2 linked regions of the Lepisosteus oculatus genome follow. The protein of the gene in region 2 interacts with the protein of the main gene of each other region in a pairwise test. Links are inferred from orthologs where the notes say so. Each region holds a gene or a part of one and is shown on either strand. Other genes may lie near its edges.

Region 1 (8,556 bases), on a different chromosome or scaffold from region 2:
GAAAATAAAATCAAGACCAACAGGCTGCTGATTTAATCAAAACGGAAGGGAATGACGCGACTTCATAGAGATATAGAAAACCCTTTGTTAACAATTAATAGTTCAAAGACTTCTCTTGACAATCAGCAAACAAGGTGAAGAGACATGTAAACTGATGAAAAATTCTGGTCAACACAAATGTTTATATAAGTAGAGAATGAAAAACAGTCACCATCAACTACAAAAATATGTCAAGTTGAAGAAATGTTTATTTTTTTGGAGGTTTCTTAAACTACGTCTACATCCGTCCGTGAGTTCAGACTTTATATTATTATTATTATTATTATTATTATTATTATCTGGTCCTGTCTGCGTACCTTTGAAAGAGACTTCAGAGCCCGGACTGCATCCCTGCGGTCCTCCAGCAAAGTGGATGAAGCTACTCTGTCACACAGTTTTTGAATCTGGCATTTGAAGGGGAAAAAAAAGACAGAAATCAGTATTTTTCAAATCAATGCACAGCATTCCTCATTCATATGAAACATGAACATGCCCTGCACAAAGAACAACACACAATAGAGGCCATGTACTGTATATTACCTTTCACTATTTTTAAACAAGTACTAAAAGAGTCAGTAATAAGGAGAACCCTGATGCGAAACCGTTTCATACGTATAAACAACAAAGCTGGACCATACAAGGGACCTGAATCGAACTGAAATGAGATCACTAGAGTATGTCTCCTTCACAGTAAACAGAGTACGTTCAGCACCCAACTTTGGAAAAAATTAAAAAATGTCTGTTATGAATGCATGTGGACTAGAAGAATGTTGTAGCATATGATAAGAGCATACCATAGAACAAGATAAATGTCTACAGCAAATACTGGGACTTAAAGCTTAAATATATCCGTCAAGATTAATGACAGTATTCTAATAATTACATCAGAACATTCAAAAAGTACTGTATAACAGACTACGAGAAGTCCTGTACCCAAACAAAGATTTCAGACGTATCTTAAGATACTTTCTAGGGCAATGCAATGCACAATGCACTTCCAGGGGATCTTAAGACTGTTTCAAAGAGTTTTGTGCTTTGAAGGAAGACTACATCTGAAAGCCACATATGTCCTTAGCACACTGTGTATTGTGTGATCTAGACAGTTTTTGCTTTGGGATATTATGTAAACAAGACAGTCGGTCTTCACTACTTTTTAAGAGACCCTAACAGCTGAAGAATGACAAAGGTTTAAAAAAACTGTCAATGCCTCTGTCAACAGCTGATAGCATAAAAACAGGGCACACCAGTTTTAGTAGACAAAGCTGAACTGTTAAACTGGTTGTGTGTAAAACGCATAACTTGTGTACTAAGAATTTGTAGCTCTAATCCAAATTCCTGAAGAGACGAGGACCCAAGACTCCAGTTTTCTACTTGTGCATGTTATGAGTTCAACGACCAAAGTATTTACTTATTTAGTATTGATAACCATTTCCAAGTTTTTAATCATTGACGACTCTTGGTTTTGTTGGTCTTCGTAACCAGGACTGAAGACCAGTGTGCTACGGAGACCCAGACCATCAAGATATTTTCCATTAAATAAAACTGAAACAAATGTACATTTCACTGGTGTAAAGGTTAAAATAAATCTAGGATCAAAAGACACAATCCATAGTACAAAAACAATGTAATAACCGTTGTTCACAGACATGTGAAAAAAAAAACAAGGCTGAAGTTCGATCATACTGATTAGGAAAGATATTTAAAGTGTTGCTTAACGTGTTGATAACCAACACGCCTTTTTAAATTGCCGTTTTAAAGCTAAAAGGCAGAATCCGGCAGAGGAACAGGGGACATGACATGAAAAGGAAAAGCAGAATCGTCATGCATCGGGATGATTCTGAAAATAGCCTACATCATAGCAGAGACAGCTGGCTGCTCAAAATCAGAGTTGTTTATCCTCCCAATTTTCCGCCGGATCTGATAATGGCAGTTATCATGACCCAGACGCAAGCATGGGTACGCTCCGGCCGCTTCGGCTATTATAGTACTGCATTTTGCACCCAGGTAGAAACATGCAAGGTTTCCTTTGTCAATACAGATATGCATTTGTTTTCCAGCCACAGCTCGGACCCATGACAAGCAGGAGTCCGTCAGGAAACGATTCCTTCATCACAGTTACACGCGTTATCTTGAGAGCAGCTGACAGCGACCCAATCTACCATCGACAGATCCTCACGCCTCCCAACAAAAGCCTGAGCCGTACCTCCAAGCGGAGACAGGGGGTTATAAAGAAAATGAGGATAATATGGACTGGGAAACGATCCCACTAACTGTCACTTTGTCAACGCCATCGCAGCGACCGGGACTGACCTGCGGTGACAGGTGCTGTTAGTGTTAAGACGTTTGTGGGGGGGGTCCCAATAATAATAGCACCAGCAGGCTTATTTGAGATGAAGGAGAAAGCGAATAAGCATCGGCTTTATAGCGGCAATAAATCATAATATCATAACACCCCTCATTTATAAGACACGACAGAGCGAATGGGTTGGTTTTTTTTTCAGGTTCGCTGCTCCAGGCTTGATCCCGATCCGTCCTTGGGGCTGACTAGAGCCGTCCCGGTGCAAACCAAACCACCCCCACACTCCCACAGCTAGCTCCGTCCAGCCCGGATGCATCTTAGTCCTCATCGTAACACTTTTTCCTGCCCTTTTCCCTCCTGTGTCAGGCTGGAGAAATTACGGCGAGCACGACGCCCCCCCACCCCCCAACTCCTCCTCCTCCTCCTCCTACCCACCGAGCCGACGGACACGCTGGTATACTCTCTAAAAGACCACGGTGCCAATCCCGACAGGAGCTGGGTCAGTCTCGACTCGACTGGGGCGCCAGACCCGAGCACCCCCACCACCACCCCAGCTCCTGCCTTTCCGCGACGTGACAAGACTCACCGTCTCTGCACCCGAAGGCTGCGGCCCGGCCGGCTGCCCTCCCATCACTCCCCGCAGGAAATTCATGTCTCCCCCCACCAAGCCGAAGCGCTTTAGTGTTATGAAAATGACCGGGGCCGCGGCTGGTTGTACTGCGATCCCAAGCGTTACTCCGATCCTCGATCCCTTTCCCCCCCAGACCGATCTTGTTGTGGGACACTGACACACACAGCTACCCCGGAACAGCACTGGAACACCGCGCTGCGCAGGCGCGGAGACGTGGCGAAACGTGGCTGCTCACAGGGCCAGAGGTGATTTTTAAAGTGACAGGACCTCCTTCACCTTTCGGGGGGTCATGGCGCCCCATGGTTTTCCGGTTTCCCCGGCTGGTCTTGCGCAAGACGGAAGGCGATTTTTAAACACGGGATTTCATTTCGGTTCGTAACTATTACAAACAAGGGTTACACTTGCTTATACAACCGAAAGCATGACTGTAGGTGGCCCTGATAAGCTTTCAAGTGGCACCAGAACAAAACCAGGATTGCAGGACTGGTTGCAAAAAAAAGAAAGCCTTTTCTGGGGTCCTCCTTAGACAAACTGAGAATCCCAAGGTTTCTGGACCAAAGAACACCTTTGTGACATTGGACGGTTATTAAATAACATTTGTAATTGTTCTTCTATACTTATTTTTTTTGCAGGCATTTGCTTCATTTAAAAAAAAGGGGGTGTTTCATCTAACAGGTGGTCATTTCGCTATTATGACAGGGCTTTGCAAATTCGCTTGCATTGTGGTAGTTTAGAATTCAAAACAAAGGCAATAAGCAACACTTAACAGTCCAACACTTTGAAGCAATCTGTTAGTTGGTCTTAAAGGTGGTGCTTGGAAAATACCCAACATCAACAAAAGACTTGGTAATGAAAATCTTAACTTACACTGAAACACCTTGAAGAGATAGCCCAACATGCAAGTTAAACATGTGATGCATGAAGTGAGTTTGAGTGTTAATGTTTCGTCTGATATGTCAATTCATCATTTTGTAATGACATTGTTTTTTACAAGGATGGTTGAAGGTCACCAACCTTCATGTGTGCTATTGATCACACGGTGCCCCTATGTGAACAACTGTTCGCTTGTGTCCCCACCATTGGCTTGGACACCAGGAAGACAAGCATGCAAACAGATCATTGTACTTTAGCAGATATAAGAATACTAGAATGGTTACAAACAAGAAGAGACCATTCTGTCCCTCTGTCTAATTCAGTTTTTCAGTAGCTAGCTGATATGGCTAGGCAGCTTCTTGCACACTCCCACACCCCACAGCAGGAAGTGCCACCTGTTCTCTGTTTTAAAATGCACTTCCTGTGCATGTAGTTTCTATTTGTGCCTTCTGGTTCATATTTCAGTGTTGATTCTGAAGACTTTCATTCAGTAGTACTGCTTTTATCTAGGCTTTTTAAGATTTTGACGTCTTGAGTTTGGTTCTCTCATAATCTTCTTTGTTCAAGATTAAAAATAATGATTTTACCATTGCTGGTTGGAATCACAATGCAACTTCATTGCATGCAGCTTCTAACAAATATACAATATACAATTTCCAATGCACAGTAATTAAGTTTAAAAAATAAAATAAAATTATCAATCGTAATTTTTATTTCTGATGACAGTAACATCTTTTATTCTTTATTTATAATTCAGCTATTTGTATTTTTTAAGCATTTGAAAGTGGGAAGAATGCAAAGTTTTCAAACAACTCTAAAATGTTTTTTTTTTTCATGCAAGCAACAGCTAGTTTTAATAATATGTCCTCAGTGATTATTTGGTTGTATTTCAGATTATTTCCTTTAGATACACAAATTCACATCAAAGCAAAAATTTACTTGGGCATGTCACAAAACAGGTGACCACTGCAATTCAAACGACCTCACCTAGGAGAACAGATGAGATATGTTCATATTTCATATTTGACATTTACTGTACTTTTTCTGAAAATCTTCCTTCAGACATTTTTCTGAGAAATGACTATGCCCAGTTTGTTCTACTGTGAGCTCATTGTGTATACAAATTTTTCTCTTTAAACTTTTTTCTTTAACCACTTGTATTTTTTTATAAACTGTTTTATAACCATTAAAAGTACTGGTTTCTTGTCAAGACTATTTAATGAGTTAGCTACTGTATGCACACCAACACACTGAGTTAAATGCCTTTCCCCTTGAGAGCCCTAAAGTTCAAAACTTCAGCTGTTTCTTGCTGTTTTATATGCAGCTCATGTCTTGACTGGTCTTTTCTGCAGGGGTACATCTACCCCTTCCCCCTTGTTACAGATCCACAGTCCAGCCATTTCTTAGAGACACCTGAAGAAGGCTCCACGGCCAAAACGTTGTGTTCTCTTTCTTCTTTTTTTCAGCATGGAATAAACCTATTACTTATTTCTTAGAGATGCTAGTTATTTAGAATTTAGCCATCTTTGAAACATGAACAATCTTTTGATTGATCATGTTTGCCTTTGATCAGTCAAGCATTGCAGGCACAACTTATACGATGTCATACTGTTTCCTTAACTTATTCAATATTGTTAGTCTATACTATGGTGGAAGAATTGTGCTTTTTACACAGTTAATGTATACAGGTCAAAGTTTAATTTAAGTGTGCAGTTCTGTGATTCTGTATGTTATTATTTGAGCCTTTCCTAGAATACTTACAAATATCACATTACTTGTTATTGTGTTCTGTAATTGGCTTTATTTTTAAAGTCTGTCTCTTAAAAAAGCATGTGAGTAAAATTAAAACATTAATTTAATTAACTGCCATTGAACGGCCAGATTAAAATCTTTTATTTTAAAGTGTCATATTTTGTGTTTTTGCTGATAACTACTGCCCATTAGATACTGCTCTTTCCTGATGTGCTTCATGCTCTTCAGAAACTACTAACATCAAACAACACAGGTGGGTCTCACTGAGTTCATATGGATTATATATGTCCAGCCCAGAAAAAATAACTATCTGTGCCTTTTTTGTCTGTATAATTGCAACCCTCCTGTGGGACATCTTTCACTCCCCTGTTTGTCTATAGTCCCCCTGAAGTTCACTAATTGCTGACTTTCTCATGGAATCAAGGTTTAAACACAGAGACACGGAACTCTAAAGTTCAGAAAAGGGCAACATTGAACCCTTGTAAACACAGCTGATTTGATTTCTTACTGACCTAATTGGTTAATTCAAGTCATGAAAGTCTGAGATGGAATAAACACAGCAAACAACACTAGAGCGATAGGGATGCCTACCCCTGATGGAGACTGTGGCATAATGCAGGGTTACCACATTAGAAGATTCAAAAACAGGCTTCAGTCGTGGTTCAATAGAGCTGTGTTTTGGACTAGACACTGTCATGAGTTAATTATCCAGAGACTGTACTGAAACTGCAGGTCCTTTGGATGTTTCTCTGTCAGAAACGTCCTGAGAGGAGAGGGAGGAGTCTGAAGAGGAAATTCAGGAGACACAGAACTGGGGAGGGCACAGGAGGAGGCTCAAGAAAATGTAAACAGAGGAACATTAGAGAGAAAAGCTACTCAAGAGCTGACAGGAGAGACACTGGCTGACACAAGGCATGAAGTTCAGCAAGTGGCTTAAACTGAACATTGGAACCTCGGAATCAAGTTGTACAATCTATGTGTTACCGTTTTCGCTCTAATTTGCATTCAGGTCGTTTTTTAAAATCTGATTGTACCATTTTAGAATTGCAAGCAAATGATTTAATAGGAAGTAGTGACCAAGACAGGGAAAAAAAGGCACAGGCTGCAGCAATAGCAATACTACATGATGATACACAAGTAGAAGAATTCGTAGATAATAAATGTGTACAAGAATGTGTCTGGCAGATAATAAAGCTTATTATTACTTCTGCTTGTTATTTGTGTGCCTTGCTTTTGGTTTAGTTAATGTCTTATTCTAAATCTATTGTTTTCACACAGCGCTACATTATGAATTTTTTGCACTGTTTAATTTATTTATTGTTTTAAACCGAGGGACTTCTGGATAAGGACGTCAGAGGTAAATATTAATAAATAATCGCGTAGTATCGGAGGGTCTTTGTGACGTCATAATCTCGAAGCGCTGGACCGGCGGCGCGGGAGGCGGGCGGGAAAGCACTCGCTTTTTGCGTCACAATAAGTATTGTCCAATGTGAGGTTTTTATTGGTTTGTTGAGTGTGACGGGGGTTCCCTGCCCCGGAGAGCAGGGGTGAGACAATAAGATAGAATCTATCGCTTTAAATCCCAATCTCTGATTAAACAGAGATCATAGAGTCCTAGGGCAAGGTGGGGGGAAAAAAAATCAGAAATTAATCCGTTTTCCCCAGAGAAATACCTGTTTCCGTGTTTAACTGACTAGCTTTATCTTCAGTATTAATCGCCATTCTCTTTAATCACTGTGTTGATTTAGGTAGGTGTTTAAAAGGTAAGTTCGATTTGTTTTGCCTTAATTTGGGTAATTTTTGTTATTCTCCCGTGTTTTGGTGGTTTGATATTAATCACTTCACCTTATTTTGTATTTGTTTTTGGTTACGTAAAGATGGGGTATGGCGTGTGCATTTTCTAACATGAAAAGGGATATTTAGCACGTTTGGATTTTTCTTCTATTTTTCAGACCAGTTCTAGTGAAAAGGGACATTCTTGGTATTTTTTTTCCAATTGTGTGTCGTTTTGAAGAGCTCGCGTTGCGTTTGAGCGGCGAGATCAGAAAAGGCCTGTGTAACTGTGTACAGTAGCGGTGTTTTTTAACGTGATGTCGAGCACGCTACCTGCTGGCTTTTCGTGCATTATCTTTGTTTACACACCTCGCTAAAAGACCGAAGGAAAAAAAAAACCGTTGATGTACACCCATCTGGGCGCGGATTAACGTGTTATTTTGTGCACTTGGCGGGGCTGTTGATTTTAACACAAAAGAAACGACGCCATAACGCGCACCGCCATGAGCCCCCGGCCGGTTTCACTATCGCTCTTTCTCGGAAGCGCGACTGAAGCAGCCCAGACAGCCGCGGTTACACCTCTCGTGTGCGGCAGCGGCCTCGGCTTTTCGCACAGGAGTTGACGGGTGCTGGCGGCCAGTGTCGTGTCCGACAGTCTTGCTGCGGGAGAAACGCTTGATTTCAGACTGTTTTTTTTTTTTTTTTGACGCGACCGACCTACTACTACTACATGCACATTGCGTCGCTGCAGGACGGCGGCTCTTAATGAAGGCCGCGCTGTACTCCTGAGAACTTAGAAAAGACCCGAGCTGACTGCTCCCCCTCCTCCTCCGCATCCGCGTACGGACTGTCGTGCAACGGGGTGACACGATTTCGTGCCGTGGTGCCGGGCCGAACCGTGCAAATGCGATTTCGTCCCCGTTGCGCTGGAGGGCCTTCCGCCGTTTCCCAGCGAGCCTCCCACCCGGGTGTGCGGGGGATCTGACGAGCGTGGGGCAGGGGAGACGTGAAACATTGTGGAACATTTAAGAAACCACCCGGGAAGGTTCGGGTGGACTCGGGATCCAACGTGGTGGAGGAACGAAACACGCGTTTTTTAAAGTAATTCGTTGCGGGTGGTTGGTTTTGTTAGCGGTGGTGGTGTTGCGCGGAAGTGTGTCTGATGGCGCAGTTGAACGCGGCTAAGGTG
Region 2 (8,094 bases):
TCCCGCCCTGTTTCTGTGTTTCCGTCCAGGATATAAAACCAGTCTGTTCCCCCAACAGCCAGCGTGGTCTCTATCCCAGCACCGTGAAGGCAACGAGACCTGACAGCTCTGTGGCAGGAGGAGCCAAACTGAACACTGACGGGTGAAAGGAAAACCCTGAGAAAATATTTTATTCATAGCGGAACATCAAAAGGCTGTTCGAACCGCAAAGCAGATTAACTTAATTACTGCATACAGATTAACACCCTGATACAGAACCACGATAATCCCTCACCTCGGCTTTGTTGTTGAAAGTCAATGGCTTGCCCGGTATGGCTGCTGATGAAACGCAGGCCTACAAAAAGCGAGTGCCGGTGAGTTAATGAAGGATCCCGGCTCACTTTCTCAACAGCTCTTGCTCCAGCACGTCATGGTCGAATTACAACACTGCTGAGGCCTGTGAGCTTTTCCTCTTTTCACTTGGGCTGTCGCTGCTGGGAGCCAGCACTCCCTCCGAACGAGACGCCCTCTCTCGCCCACTGCAGCCGGGAGCTGCCTGCTGCGACCCCCTGCAGTGAGGTGGACCAGGAGGGCCCGTGTGACTCGTAACAATGCCATTTGAATTAGGAAGGCTTCCACAGGAAAGAGCAATTCATCTATCTGGACATTATTGTGTCAAGACTGTTCACACACAATGTCAGTTTCCTCAGTCACTTTAACAAGGCTGTCTACTAAGCGCATATGTGCTAAGAGTATACGGTCCCCCCCCTTGTTGGACGAGAGGAAAATGTAGCTAAGGTTAACCCCAGGGCTCTGTTTAACTTCCACTCCAGACTTGAACAATTTGACCTCAATACGGTTACCCCTGATATAAAGAAGTGAGGCACTTTCTCAGTCCTCTTCCTGATCTGCAGTGCAGGTGGGTCACCCAGGTGGGGCTGCTGGTGCAGAATGACCACTGTGTGTCTCCCAGGTGAGGCTGCTGGTGCAGAATGTCCACTGTGTGTCTCCCAGGTGGGGCTGCTGGTGCAGAATGGCCACTTGTGTGTCTCCCAGGTGGGGCTGCTGGTGCAGAATGGCCACTGTGTCTCTCCCAGGTGGGGCTGCTGGTGCAGAATGGCCACTTGTGTGTCTCCCAGGTGGGGCTGCTGGTGCAGAATGACCACTGTGTCTCTCCCAGGTGGGGCTGCTGGTGCAGAATGACTGCTGTGTGTCAACCAAGTGGGCAAGCAAGCAACTATTACTATACTAGAGCTGTCATTATGTATAACTGGTGATCCAAACATGAACAGCTTCATAGAAAAAGTCTAAGCTACATTTCTCCTAGTGCTAGGTTAAATACAATGCCGGGCAAAACATTTAAAGGTCCTCATCATACGAATGACCTTTTTCTGCGTTCAGACACCTGAAACTGAAACAGGCAATTGTTGTTCTGCGCACTTTACCCATTTCTACAAACTCACTGCGATTTCCTGTCAGTCTGTGAAAGCAATTCCACAATCAGGTCCTTTAAGGGCAACCCTTCCGTTGTTAACCAACAAAGCTACCGCACGATAAACGCACCCCTAACCCTCCGCACACATACACATTTCCCAACACACCCCACAGTCGGTAAACAAGACTCGCTGAATCTGACGTGACCCCTTTACAGTGACCTTAACAAACAATCACTCGGAGGCGGCATAAACGTGCATGCATTTAACGACTACCGCCACTTTGAGATGACCGCCTGGCGTAATGAACAGCACGCATTTCGACATTTCTGTCAATCGGTCAGGATACAAGTCCACCCCGCGGCAGCAGTTATCGCGCTAACGTCACATGGCGACAGCCGTTGAAAACACAGCCGGAACCGGCCTCGCTGTAGAGTCAGCTGACGTTAACGTCGATTACCGCCATGATCCTACTTTTTGCGTCCCAACAATTTAAAAAAAAAAACAACAACAACATTTCTTGCAGCTTTCCTTCTTTTTTTCCGAACCGGCGTCCGTGCTCGACGAGGCTGATGACAGAGACGGAAGGCGTACCCTTCGCGCAGAGACATCAATTTGAAACTCACAACGCGTGCAATTTCCCCAGCGGTTCAAAAGAGGGGTTAACCACCTGTTCAAGTCTGAAATCGAGGGATTACAGTGCCTAGTCATTACTAATTCAATCTCTCCGTCTACTGTGATTAAATTATACCACACAGGCACGCTGCTCTCTAACGAGGAAGAAAAAACGAGGTACTTCGCTTGCTGTTATTTATTCATCGCTGTTTGAGCAAAGATGCACAGCTCTCTACCGCCTTTCGCGAATACGAATAGGGATCGCACTGGAATTTCTACCAGAAACAGCTGCAGCTGGAGAAATGGTGTTATAATCGCCCCGCTGTGTGCACTACAGCGCGAAGGAAACGTTAACGTGTTCACCGGTCGTCAACAAAAACGAAACTACTGCCCTAAGTGAGAGTCAGAGAAAGTGGGCTGATGTCAGAGGACACGTTCCTTTAAGGCAAACCAGCAACTCGTGTATCTCTCCCCCTTTTTTAAATATACCGCAAAAACAAAAATAAAACAGCGAGCCAAAATGCGTCTTTGTTTTTTTTTTTCCATCCGTTTTTGGTTTGCAAAAGTTTCTCCTTTGGAAAACGACAATAAATTTCTCCCCCCCCCAAAACGAGCAGCAGGCCAGACCTAAAGCAATGCAATGCTGTCGTGTTTACTTGCAAGGACTGACTCCAACACCAGCCGGCTCCGGGCTCCACATTCACGCCCCCGCGGCGAAACCGACGCACGGTATTGAACCCCCGTGGGACGCACGGCTCGCCTCTTCCTCCCCCCTCGCCGTAATATTATCTCGTCCGTTCCGTTCTCCACACTTCTGAATCATGTCAAAGCAATGGACATGATGACAGGCCACAAGTCAACACTCTTCCACAATCGCATCCAAAACACGCCTCGCCGCCTGCACCGCGCCTGGGTTTCCCTCCTCGCCTGCCGCCGTTTCCACACCGCGTCCTCGCCCCGTCCCTCGGATCCCTAGATGAAGACGCACGCACCGCTAAGGATAGCGTTTTCACATTTCCAAAACATAAACCCTGGTTACCTGCACATGATCCGCCATTTTGCTCCATTCATGCTCAGCTCAGCTCGCTCACTCCCCCCCACGACACAGCGCATGCGCCGAGTTATCCCGGCGCTGTCGGGCCCTTGCGCTTCCTGCGCAGCGCCGTTCGCGCGGGCTGCAAGGGCGCTGCGCGCTACGCAAGGTTGCAGAATCCGACCGCGGAGGAACATTCCGCAAACTCTTTGTTTACATGACTCTTAAAGAGATACGGTTCCATTCTGGAATCGGTGGGGAGACGGGGGGAGACCCCCTTTTCGTTTCTAACATCATCACTAGAACTTGCTCAGCGATTCTGCAGTGGGGCAAAAAAACCTCTCTACTTTGCAAGCTTGTAAAGCAAAATCACATTTTTCTTCGGTAGATTAGTGGATTATTGAGTGGTAACCATTATTTTTCAGATGTTCTACAAAACCACACTAAGAAAACATCGGATATATTTATTCGATTATCTGTTCTTGGCTCATGTGCTCCTCAGGTATCACCACGAGAGTGTCAAAGAACAGTAGCACTAGCAGCACTGCTTGTTGAATTCGGCAGCTGCTGTTGTATCCCCCCGCAGCTCACAACTGGCAGCCCAGTGAAGTTTAGCAGGTGTGAGGCTGGCCAGTACCTGGATGGGAGACCTCATGAGAAAGCTAAGGTTGCTGCTGGAAGAGGTGTTAGTGGGGCCAGCAGAGGGTTCTCACCCAGCAGTCTGTGTGGGTTCTTATACCCCAGTACAGTGATGGGGACACTATATTGTAAAAAAGGCGCTGTCCTTCAGATGAGACGTAAAACCGAGGCCCTGACTCTCCGTGGTCATTAAAAATCCTGGGGTATTTCTCAAAAAGAAAAAACAGAGTGTTAGCCCGTGTCCTGGACAAATTTTCACCAGTCATGGCCTCCTAATAACAGTGACAGGCACGCTATACCTGTAAGAAGGCACCGTCCTTCGGAAGTCCTGGCTCTCTGTGGTCATTAAAAATCCCTGGGCGTTGCTCGAAAATTTAGCATCCTGTCCAAATTTCCCATTGGCCCTTACCAATCATGGCTTCCTAATAATCCCCCTCTCTGAACTGGCTTCATCACTCTGCTCTCCTCCCCACTGAGAGCTGGTGTTTTGGTGAGTGTACTGGTGCGCTCTGACTGCTGTCACATTGACTGCTGACTGCTGATTGGGGCTACTAAAAATTGTAAGGAATTATTATTATTAACTATGAACCGAAGTAGGAACTATTTAAGCAGCGATCAATCAGAATATTATCACGCTGTGAGTGCAAAGGAGGTCTCTGCTCTGTGTGTATTCATCATGACGCTCCAGCTGTTGTTTTCTGTGTCAGTGGAGCCATCTGCTTCAGTCAGCACAACCAGATTCCCATCGTCTGAAAGCAAGCGCAGAGGGGTGGCTGCACGCTGTCGTACCCCAGCCCAGAGCCCCTCTCCGGCATCGATCTGCAGGGGCGAATGAAGTGCCCTGAAGCTTCGTTCTAGAACAGCACTTGTTCTAGCTGGATATTCCAGAACAGCACACCTCTGGATGTTCTAGAACCGCTGTTGTCTGGACACCTGAAGCTGACAGAGCTGATCCATGTGACGTCCTGAAAGTTTCATCTGCAAGGCTGAGGAGACTTTTATTATTATTATTTTTATTATTATTATTATTATTATTATTATTATTATTATTATTATTATTATTATGATTATTATCCCAGCAAGCAATGGGCTCAAGGCAGGGTACGACCTGCATGGGACACCAGTGCTTCACAGGGCCGATTCACACACAGACACCCCAGGGCCAATTTTCCCAGAAGGCAATTGGCCTACCAGTACATCGTTGGAAACTGCAGCACCCCGAGGAAACCCATGTGGGGAGAACATGCAAACTCCACACAGACAGCACCTCAGGAGTCGAACCCGGGGCCCCAGCAGTGTGAGGGAGCAATGCTGACCAATGCACCACGTGCCACCCATGTAGTAGTTATTTTTGTTGTTGCGTTGATGATCAAGAAACAAGCTTATTTGTGACCACATTCATCCTTACAAAAGTTTGCAGTTTTGAAACTGAAAAAATGCAAGTTCAACTTTTCATTGAAAAATCCGCTTTTATCCACATATCTGAGGCCCATCTTGCGCTCTGATGAGTAATGGCAAAGGTTTCGAACCAGAGCCTTCGGCCCTTCCAGTCACACGCTAATTGATCTGTGGTTCCGCTCTCGCGGTTTCTGGAGGGCAGCCAGTGGATCGGCTGAGTAAGACGGCCATGGGTCTTGGTGCAGACCACCGCCACTCTTTGTGTAAACGCGCGCCTCCTCTTCCTAATTTTCAATACACGTCTACGCGGTTTCACCGGTCGTGTTTTTAGGGAGAAGCCCTCTGAAGTCCCCTGGGTTGACCTAGTCATTAGCTTTGTTGATTTTTGACTGCTTGAATCAGGTCTCCAGAAGTCTTCTCCCTTTCAGCCTGAGCAGGACGTTCCTTAAAGGCCAGACTGTGTCCAGGTGCCCTTCTGCTGGGTGACCAACATTGTACAAAACATTTTAAATGAAATATTACTAGTGCATTGTACATTTTAACACAACACCCACCGATTTCAGTTCAATGCTATTAACTATGTGTCCTAACGGGTTTTTTTTGGTGTGCCTTCTTTACTCCTCCACATTGTCTAGAAGATTAAAATGACGTTTCGACATAACCATCTACAGGTAACGTCTTTTTTTCTAAGTGCCTCAGTGTTTGCTGTCGCGGATCCACGGTTTATGGTTTTTGTTATCTGCTTTTTGTTATCTTCCCAAGTCCACGTCACATTTCATCTGGCCACATACCGTCCACGCACACCGTGAGCTCGTCAGCTGATACACCAGTTAACTAGAAATTACTCAGTTCAACCCCCAGTTAATTACAAATTACTCGGTTCAGGCCCCGGTCGCCCGTTCCATTTACGTGGCCACAATCGCGTAATCAACAAGGCTAGAAAAATAGTCCGGGTATTTTTTTTACACTAGAATTCAGATGGACATATTTGTGCCTAGAGCTTGCTTTTTCTCATTCTTTGCTGGTTCTATGTCTATAAAACGCAGGTTTCTGGGGTAGGCGACGAAATTGTGTCCTCCGTAACCTTTCCCTATCCTATTAGGTCTGTTTTCCTTCGCGTAAAGCCCCTGTTTACAATCCCGTATGCGAGATAAAGGATTAAGCGGTTTTTAAGTAATTGATCTCGCCCGAGGTCGCTGCCGAGTTCTTGGCAAACCGGGCGCCCGGTTTAACGCGCCGGAGAGAAAGACGTGGAAACGCGTAGGCTGTTGCTGCCACCTCGTGGTGAATCTGTGAAGTGCCGCGAAAGCGGGATTGACGAGAACCAGATGGCAGAAAGCGGAGCAAAGGGCGTCTAGCTCCCGTCTGGAAGGTCCCGGGTTCAATCCCAGGTAGGGGACAGCGATGGAGCTTGCTCTAATTCCTTCCAGACGGCTCCCAGGTCCACTCATTCTGTTTTCAGAGTGAGTACCGTGGGGTAATAGGCCGACCGGAGCGTGATACTGACCACATCACCTCCACCTCCAGTGTCGGATAATAATAATAAACTTTATTTTATATAGCGCCTTTAAAGGTGGCTTCTCAAAGCGCTTTACAGGATGACAATAACAATAAATAAGAAGACTACAACAATAATTAAGAAGATTTCACAAGATAGGACACAATTATAATTACAACAATACAACAATAACAATAGAGGAGACCGTGGAAGGTGGTATTAAGAAGAGCAGAGGGGTGAAGAATGGAAGCAGTTAAGTAAAGGCTTTTCTGAAGAAGAAGGTTTTGAGTCTAGATTTGAAGGAGTTTAGAGAAGGTGACTCTCTAATATCTTTGGGCAAAGAAAAATGGTGTCCCTTGCCCCCCATTCCCCCATGGGCCTTGATGGCCTGAGAAGGGACCTCCCTACATAGCGGAAAGCGGTCCGAATCGGGGAAAACGCAGTTTTCAATTTACTAGGCTGCCCGCTTAGATGTGATTTAGTGGCATAACATTACCGTTAACTCTGTCCTCGCCCCGGTGATACCGCTGCCACCCGCGCATATAATGATACTGTGAGCTAATTGTCCCGTGTTAGTGTTGTTTTCTTCAGTCACGCAGTTTAAAATATTTTGAGTTATACAGAATTCTCTGTTTCGGTTTATCGGTAGGTTCACGTGAATATACATTCCTTTGTTTTCGGGTGGTTTACACGTGATAGTGTGAATAGTAAAGAGGGAGATCAGAAAGGGAGAGACAGGACGCGGCAGGTGGAAATGAGATTGTTAAAAAAAAACCTAAGAAGAGTATCAGTTTCCACGCAGTTCCCGTCCTTACAGGCAAAGGGTTGAACCACAATCGCACGAACCCTACAGTTACAATACAGTTCATATCCATAAGAACAGAGGAGGTCGCTCGGCCCGTCTGGCCTGGTTTGGTAGTTAGCAAGTTCGTTGATCAAAAGGGTCTCATCCAGCTGTTTCTTGAAGGGCACCGTGATATCGGCTTCAACAGCGTGGCTGGGTAGTTTGTCCCAGCTCCCTCTAAATGAATGACCGTCTTCTGTTCTCGGTTTTTAAACGCACTTTCAAGTATTTTCCACTTGTGCGCCCTGGCCGGTGTTGCGCTCAAATCCCTTCAAAACTTCAAATCTTTCTGAAGACGTCCGCTGGGTTAGCTTTGACAGGGGCTTGGAGGATTTTGAACAGTTTGTAGCAGGTCACCTAGTGATTTTCTCTGACCAAGGGTTCAAAGATTCAGTCCATCACGCGACGGAAGCGCAGTTGCTGAAGAATTTAAATCCTGATCTCAGTCCGGAGCGCAGTTAGACCGGTCTGCAGCCAGACGGGCGCGGACGCCTGGAGGACGGGTCTCGGTTGTTGCAGCTCCAGACGGAATCGCCTTCGCTGGAGCAGAGAGCAGTCGGCGTGAGGCTGGAGTGGGGGGAACAGGGGGCGCAGATCTCCGAGTCCAGGTCTGAATTTGGAAGTCTTCGCGCAGCCTGATCAGGGAAATCGATAT

The links. The genes of interacting proteins can lie anywhere in the genome.
Region 1: the proteins of xpo7 (region 2) and uso1 interact in binary tests that used the Homo sapiens proteins (3 or more experiments, as listed by UniProt). The two-hybrid records come from large-scale screens. The link is inferred for Lepisosteus oculatus from reciprocal best matches to the Homo sapiens genes XPO7 and USO1.

Annotation. Positions count from the first base shown.
Region 1 is NC_090696.1:72,270,557-72,279,112, reverse strand, and holds the start of uso1 (general vesicular transport factor p115), read right to left. Parts: upstream 3,179-8,556; 5' UTR 2,991-3,178; coding exon 2,925-2,990; intron 444-2,924; coding exon 357-443; intron 1-356. UniProt on the Homo sapiens protein: General vesicular transport factor required for intercisternal transport in the Golgi stack; it is required for transcytotic fusion and/or subsequent binding of the vesicles to the target membrane.
Region 2 is NC_090697.1:74,312,818-74,320,911, reverse strand, and holds the start of xpo7 (exportin-7), read right to left. Parts: upstream 3,175-8,094; 5' UTR 3,085-3,174; coding exon 3,067-3,084; intron 1-3,066.